Nothobranchius furzeri: one gene and its partner. The protein of the gene in region 2 interacts with the protein of the main gene of each other region in a pairwise test. Links are inferred from orthologs where the notes say so. Each region holds a gene or a part of one and is shown on either strand. Other genes may lie near its edges. The genes, in order: atxn10 and ppp1r12a.

Evidence for each region.
Region 1: the proteins of ppp1r12a (region 2) and atxn10 interact in binary tests that used the Homo sapiens proteins (3 or more experiments, as listed by UniProt). The link is inferred for Nothobranchius furzeri from reciprocal best matches to the Homo sapiens genes PPP1R12A and ATXN10.

What each region holds. Positions count from the first base shown.
Region 1 is NC_091741.1:53,728,274-53,732,098, forward strand, and holds part of atxn10 (ataxin-10), read right to left. Parts: intron 1,761-3,825; coding exon 1,675-1,760; intron 1,579-1,674; coding exon 1,482-1,578; intron 80-1,481; coding exon 1-79. UniProt on the Homo sapiens protein: May play a role in the regulation of cytokinesis. May play a role in signaling by stimulating protein glycosylation. Induces neuritogenesis by activating the Ras-MAP kinase pathway and is necessary for the survival of cerebellar neurons.
Region 2 is NC_091741.1:40,818,617-40,822,541, forward strand, and holds the start of ppp1r12a (protein phosphatase 1 regulatory subunit 12A), read right to left. Parts: upstream 2,349-3,925; 5' UTR 2,248-2,348; coding exon 2,011-2,247; intron 1-2,010. UniProt on the Homo sapiens protein: Key regulator of protein phosphatase 1C (PPP1C). Mediates binding to myosin. As part of the PPP1C complex, involved in dephosphorylation of PLK1. Capable of inhibiting HIF1AN-dependent suppression of HIF1A activity.

The DNA of each region.
Region 1 (3,825 bases), about 13 Mb from region 2:
CTTGGCTTCATCCAGACACGTGTGGAGAACCATGGAGGCGTAGGAGACCACTTTCTCATCATCGGCACTGAGCAGCTGCCTGTTCACACATATAAGTTTGCTCCGTTCAAGGAAGGATGCTTGGATTCATACAGTCAATAAGTACAGTGGGGCAAAAAAGTATTTAGTCAGCCACCGATTGTGCAAGTTCTCCCACTTAAAATGATGACAGAGGTCAGTAATTTACATCATAGGTACACTTCAACTGTGAGAGACAGAATGTGAAAAAAAATCCATGAATTCACATGGCAGGATTTTTAAAGAATTTATTTGTAAATCAGGGTGGAAAATAAGTATTTGGTCACTTCAAACAAGGAAAATATGTGGCTCTCACAGACCTGTAACGTCTTCTTTAAAAAGCTTTTCTGTCCTCCACTCATTACCTGTATTAATGGCACCTGTTTGAACTCATTATCTGTATAAAAGACACCTGTCCACAGCCTCAAACAGTCAGACTCCAAACTCCATTATGGCCAAGACCAAAGAGCTTTCGAAGGACACCAGGAAAAGAATTGTAGACCTGCACCAGACTGGGAAGAGTGAATCTACAATAGGCAAGCAGCTTGGTGTGAAATAATCAACTGTGGGAGCAATTATCAGAAAATAGAAGACATACAAGACCACTGATAATCTCCCTCGATCTGGGGCTCCACGCAAGATCTCATCCCGTGGGGTCAAAATGATCATGAGAATGGTGAGCAAGAATCCCAGAACCACACGGGGGGACCTGGTGAATGACCTGCAGAGAGCTAGGACCACAGTAACAAAGGTCACCATCAGTAACACACTACAACGGCAGTTAATCAAATCCTGCAGTGCCAGACGTGTTCCGCTGCTGAAGCCAGTGCATGTCCAGGCACGTCTGAAGTTTGCCAGAGAGCACATGGATGATACAGCAGAGGATTGGGAGAATGTCATGTGGTCAGATGAAACCAAAGTAGAACTTTTTGGTATAAACTCAACTCGTCGTGTTTGGAGGAAGAAGAATACTGAGTTGCATCCCAAGAACACCATACCTACTGTGAAGCATGGGGGTGGGAACATCATGCTTTGGGGCTGTTTTTCTGCTAAGGGGACAGGACGACTGATCCGTGTTAAGGACAGAATGAATGGGGCCATGTATCATGAGATTCTGAGCCAAAACCTCCTTCCATCAGTGAGAGCTTTGAAGATGAAATGTGGCTGGGTCTTGACCAAATACTTATTGTCCACCCTGATTTACAAATAAATTCTTTAAAAATCCTGCCATGTGAATTCATGGATTTTTTTTCACATTCTGTCTCTCACAGTTGAAGTGTACCTATGATGAAAATTGCTGACCTCTGTCATCATTTTAAGTGGGAGAACTTGCACAATCGGTGGCTGACTAAATACTTTTTTGCCCCACTGTAGGTCACCATGAAATGTCTCCTACTGCTGCGACGAAGACACACGACACTTACAGGAGGAGATCAGGGAAGCTCAGTTGCCAAATTTCATCTTTACTCATCTGGTTTCCAACAGCCAAGTTCCCAAGGAACTGGATTCCACATCGAAGAGCTGAACCATAGAAGATAAACATTTAGATGGATGGAATAAAGACGGTTTTGTCACTAAAATGCATTCGTTTAATCAGCTGCTTAAATTTAAACTCACGTTCATGAGTGGAATCTTTGTTTCCAATGTCTTCTGTCTGAAGGTAACTCAGAAGTTTAAGAGAAACATCGATGAAACCTAGTTCCCTGAAAATGAGGTAACACAGGGTTTTCTTGTTAATGTACAATTATCAGAAATAGTCATTAGCGCTTTGGGCTTCCTGACAGGGTTGCGGAAGGCGCTTTATAAATAAAGCTTTGATTGATTGATTGATTGATTGATTGATTGATTGATTGATTGATTGATTGATTAAAAATGCTTTTTTTTTCAATGAACCACAGTCTGTAGAACTAAACAAAAGTGAACAATTACCCTGAACGCATTTGGTAAATAAATGAAATATAAAAAAAAATGAAATAAAGAAAGTAAAGTTTACATTATTATCACAATTCAATTCAAATATACTTTATTAATCCCAGAGGGAAATCAGAGTTTTAGTACACACAATTCAGAGATCAGACATACATAGCCAAAGACACATGACAACAATTGGTGACTGTGGTCATTCGCAACCCTGAGTCGCGCTACCTTAATAAAGATCAGAGGGTTACATGAGGATTGGTTCAGGTGGAGGGAAAAAAAAGGCACTTCAGAGTTACCCTCCAGAGGGAGGGCAGCTTTGCTATGCAAAAAAAAAACCACCTCAGACAGAGATGCAACAGACTTCAGACATAAGACAACATAACTGTCCACTAGGTGGGGTGGTGGGTTTGGGACTCTCCACACTTCAGTGCCTGCAGCCATGATAAGCAGCACACATCATCTCAGTCTGGACAGGGGAGGGAGGTCGTTGGGATTTGGAGGGCACAGTGACTCCTGGAACGATTTGGCAGCTTTCACAGCCCGCAGTCCCACCCAGGCTGGGATAGGAGACAGATGCCATAGTGACGGCAGCATTCCACATTTCTTCTGAGGGGGGATTATTCGTTGCAGCCTCACAGGCTCAAGGGCACTAGATTCAGATAAGAAATTGTTTGGGGGCCAGACAGAAATAATTTCTTCTCTGTCTTAAGGTTCAGCTGGTCCTCAACCTCTCAAAATCCAATAATGGCGTAAATTAATCTATCCCAATCCATGCTGATTCGTCCACTCGATCCTTGATTGCATCCATCTTTTGTGCCAATGCATGAATCTCAGCCAAAGTTCCAAGCTTTAGACTCATCTCGACAATAATATGAGTCTGTGAATTCACAGCGCGGTGTAATCCATCCCTGAGCTCGGGGAGAGCGCCAATATTTCTTGACAGAGGGGTGGACATTAACTTCAAAACTAACCGGCCAGCCAGGCCGGTAACTCTGAATATTTACCGGCCCCGCCAAGAATCTACCGGCCCCGCTGGTCAGCTGCCAAAACGAGTCAAAATAACAACTGAACCATTTTAAATGTAATAAACCTTCATTTTGTACACATTCACAAACATAATAACGTATTCAAGTTTGAATTTGTTTGTTCCCTCAACAACTCGATTTTGTCGTCGCATACTTCCGGCATACAACGCAGTACATCACCAACTCCGCTTTGCTGTACTCGAACCATTGGCTGTGTTCTAGATGAGCCAGTTCTGCGCAGATTAGACCAACGGTGATCGGCGAGCAGTGCATGCCGGTTAGATTTGTGTCCGACTTGACGCCGACTTGCTCTGACGTCATGCATGCGTAGGCAACGATAACCTTGTGAGATCAAGGCGGCCGCAGATTTTGGAGCAAGGCGCTGCAGTTGCTCTCCCTCGGCTGCAAAACCTAGGGGATGACGGGAAATGCCTGGCTCTCACCTGATCTAAGATCTGATTGGTTCATATTTTGATCCAAACATCCGGTGGTAGAACATGAAATGTTAGTTGGTCACATGTATTCTGTAAATCATGTTAAGTTGATGATGAAAACTATATAGGCCATAAAGAGAAATGTGTTTTGTTTTCTTTTGTCACGTTTCCTATGAGCACACTAAAACTGCAGCTGATAACCTTTACTTATTGCAGTCATGTCTTCATATACAATATATGATATCCACAAGCACGTGAGGATGTGTTTCAGCTGCTAACAAGCACCAGAATTAAAATTGAAAATTGAACAAGTGTGAACGCTCACGCGATATCTTCAGCCATCATCACCCCCGAGCTACACATGTAGGGAAATCTGTCCAACTTAAACG
Region 2 (3,925 bases):
AACACATCTTGATCTATAAACACATAATGCCTATTTTAGAACAGCTTGTGGAACATAAACTTACAAAGTGTGCTTATGATAAGGGACTTTTGATTAGTTTCAGTGAAATTGTTGACAATACAAGGGTCTGTTTTTGCTTTTAAGGAGAATGGGCATTTATTCGCTTTCTATAAATCGGTTGCCTCTCTCCAACAGTTGGTTTCTCTCTGCTAGGAGTGTCTAATGCAAAAATCTGCATCATATGGTCATCTCCATGCCACATACAAAGCAAGTGACAGTCCATGAGTGAGACAAAATGGAACAGACACTGGCTGGGATTAAAACAGGAAAGATATACAATCGGGAGGCTTTATAAACTTTGGATTTACTGAAATAAAGTGAAGATCAAGGTTAAATTATCATCTAAGACGATCAGACAATAGATTCACTTGATGATCATCTTAATTTTGCAGCAGTTTTACATGAAATATTAAGAGGATGTCTGTAGAATAGTTTAGGATTTTTTATTAGGTATTTCCATCAACACACATGAATATTTGCGTCTTTGACTCATCAAAATACAGCCTCACAAGTGGGTGCGTAATAAAAATGAACTCGATTTGGGTTCAACAAGAACAGTTCATCGTGTTCTAAAGCTAGTTTATTGCAGGCCTAGTTTATAAGCAGCATAACATTTAGCTGTTTTTCCCAGAGTGAACATATCTGTCCCACCTTCAAGAGGACACGGGCACTACGAGCACCGGCCGATCGAATATTTAAGTGTTTTTATGTGATTATTTTAATCCAGGCCCCCTTTCTAAATAATTTTACGGATGAGGTCGCCGCAGTCTGATAACACTCCGAGCACATATGCTAGTGAACGTTGCTAAAGAGATTAGCAGCAAAACTGTTAGCTTGGCACGGATGGCGTTTCTGTCAAAACAACAAACTGCCAACCGCATACACATTGGTGTTCTGATACACGCCACAAAGACAAGAAATGTAAAAAAAGAAAGAAATAGAGACTAGTAAGAACGAGGCACGTCGTCCGTCACCTCGGCTAATGAATGAATCGAGTCAAAATCAACTCCATAACAGCCAGCGTCGGTTATCTTAGCATGCTAACAGCGCTAGCTCACAACTCACTACATTTTATTCTTCATTGTAAATACCACTGCGTTTATTAATTATGTCAGAAGAAATAATACATAAATGTCACTTAAAGACATCAATTAGAGTTAAAATAACAACTAATGTCCAATAACTTTGGTTTCACCCCCTGAGAGTCGTCGCTGCTGAGGGATTTATCAACAAAACGACTTTTACTGCTAGCCAGGTAATAGCCGGTGCTGTGTGCTGGGGGAAAACACTCTTTCACGAATGCACCCCATATAGTTAACATATATATTTTAAAAACAGTATAACTGATGGAACGTGGGGTCTTGAGGGTAGCAAAGTGTCAACATTCGGTTTGTTTCTTTAGAGTTTGCCATTCTACGCCAGTGGAAGTTCTTGCGGCACTACACCATCCGCTGGTGGAATCAACTGATCTGGGATTATGCTTCTACACATGACAGCTACTACTAAAGAGACTACTTAGGACACATTTTAAGTTTTAGATTTTACACAGCAATCACTGCACACGAGAAAACGTCATTACTAATTTGTCTAAAACCACTCCAGAAAAAAGACGACATAGCTGTGGGATTTTGAGCTACAACAGAACAGCAATTAGACTGCACCCAAAGGCTTTAATACGGATCGAAGCTAGTCTATAAAGGCTAAAAGAAATCAAACTAAAAAAACGAAGTTCTGTAATATGTGCACAGGCATTAAACCAGTTAATAGGGCTCAGGAAGGTGCTAATCTATTCTCAGCGTCGAAAAAGGCGAGTGTGCAAGGTAGGTAAACAGCGAAGTGAGAATGGCTTCAATTTGACAGGTGTTACAACACAGGAAGCAGTTACAGACGGTAAACTGATGCTACGGTGCAAATAGATAAAATGGCCAACAATGGCAATCAGACACGAACCTGGTGAAGAGCAGTGAGACCGTCTACATTGGCGTAGTTGATGTCAGCGCCCCGGTCAAGTAGACGGAGCACCTCCTCGGTATCGCCGCTTGAGCAGGCAGCCAGAAACACGGCGCCATCATCGAACTTCACCTTCGTCTTCTTCTTTTTCAAAACAGAAGGTTCCTGGTCCGTTTCCGAGCCCAGCCATTGCTTTAGCTGTTCATTCCTCTTCTGCTTGGCGTCCGCCATCTTCATCCCCCTCCTGACTCAGACTTCTTATCGTTGTCCGAGAGAGGGTATACTTTATAGTGCCACTATCCCACAACGCACTGGGGCGTGGGAAGAGGGGAGGGCTGTGGAGGAGGAGGAGGGGACACGGCGTGAAAGAGGACGTCTGGAAATTTCCGATAATCTCGCGAGAACTGGAGCTCAGGCGAGGCAGCATCAGATCAGACTGCAGCATAACGTCATTAGTTGGGATCTCTGGCAAACCGATGGGACATATAATATTTTATGTACATGATTTTTGAGGGATGTGACTAAAATTGAATCTTTACTATTCAAATATGTGTATAAAAATGAACCGAATGTAAAATAGAACTAGTTGTAACTGCAAATTCATTATGTAATTCAATTCAAGTTCATTTATATAGCGCCAAATCACGACAAGAGAAGTCTCAAGGCACTTCACACAGTAAACATTCCAGTTCAGGTCATCATGGACGTAATTTTGGGGGGGACAGGGGGGACATGTCCCCCCCACTTTTTCCAAAGTCAAGATTTGACCCCTGCACTTTTTACCATCCAAAAGCAATATTACGCTATATTAAATTGACACTGGTTGAGCTCTAGGACAAAGCGGAAAACAACTGTTTGTGTTGAAGCCTGTTTCCCATTAGAGCATAGTGTAAAGATACCCCCCCCCCTCCCGTGTCTCCCCCACTTCTAAAGTGAAAATTACGTCCATGCAGGTCATTAAGCCAATCAGTAACAAGCTTCCTATAAAAAGAAACCCAGCAAAGTGCACTGAGTCACTGACTAGTGTCAGAGTTTTGACAGCAATACTTTATTGTTTTTTAAGTTAAATTGTATAATAATAATAATAATAATAATAATAATAATAATAATAATAATAATTATAAATATTAGTAGTAGTAGTAGTAGAATATAAATATATATATATATATATATATATATATATATATATAATACATTTTGATTATCATATAAAAACAAACCTGAAACTAAACTACAACATATATTAAATCCATGTTTTTAAGTTTAAAAACTTTTTTTTATTTTATTTTATGTTTTTGCAGTGTCTGGTACGAAATATTGTTTAAACAACCCAGGGTCCAGACCAGGAAGCAGAGTCGTAGTTTAACCCACCCCTCTGCAGCTTCTGTACTGTTACCCACCCACTACCCCATAGAGACAGTGTCCTGTCCACGGCCAAAATCACACAGATTAAATATCAGGCTTAATAAAGCAAATCATGGAAATCTCATAAATATTAGAACAAATTCTACTGAGCAGAAAACTAGAAAAATTAAATGTGGGTTGTTGAACATTAGATCAATTTTTTCAAAGACTTTGTTAGTTAATGACTTGATTTGTGATAATCAGATCTCTTTGCTCTCTCTCTCACAGAATCCTGGCTGCAGCAAGAGGACTATGTTAGCTTAAATGAGTCGACTCCTTCAAATTATTTAAATCATCATATTGCTCAAAGTACAGGGCGAGGAGGAGGAGTAGCAACCATTTTTCCGAGGAGGAGTAGCAACCATTTTTCATTCAGACTTATTAATCAGTCCCTTACCACTTAATAGCTACAGTTCGTTTGAACATCTTATTCTTAGTTTTCTTAAACCAGATTGCAAAACTGTAAAACCACTCTTGTTTGTAGTTTTATATCATCCACCAGGCCCTTATT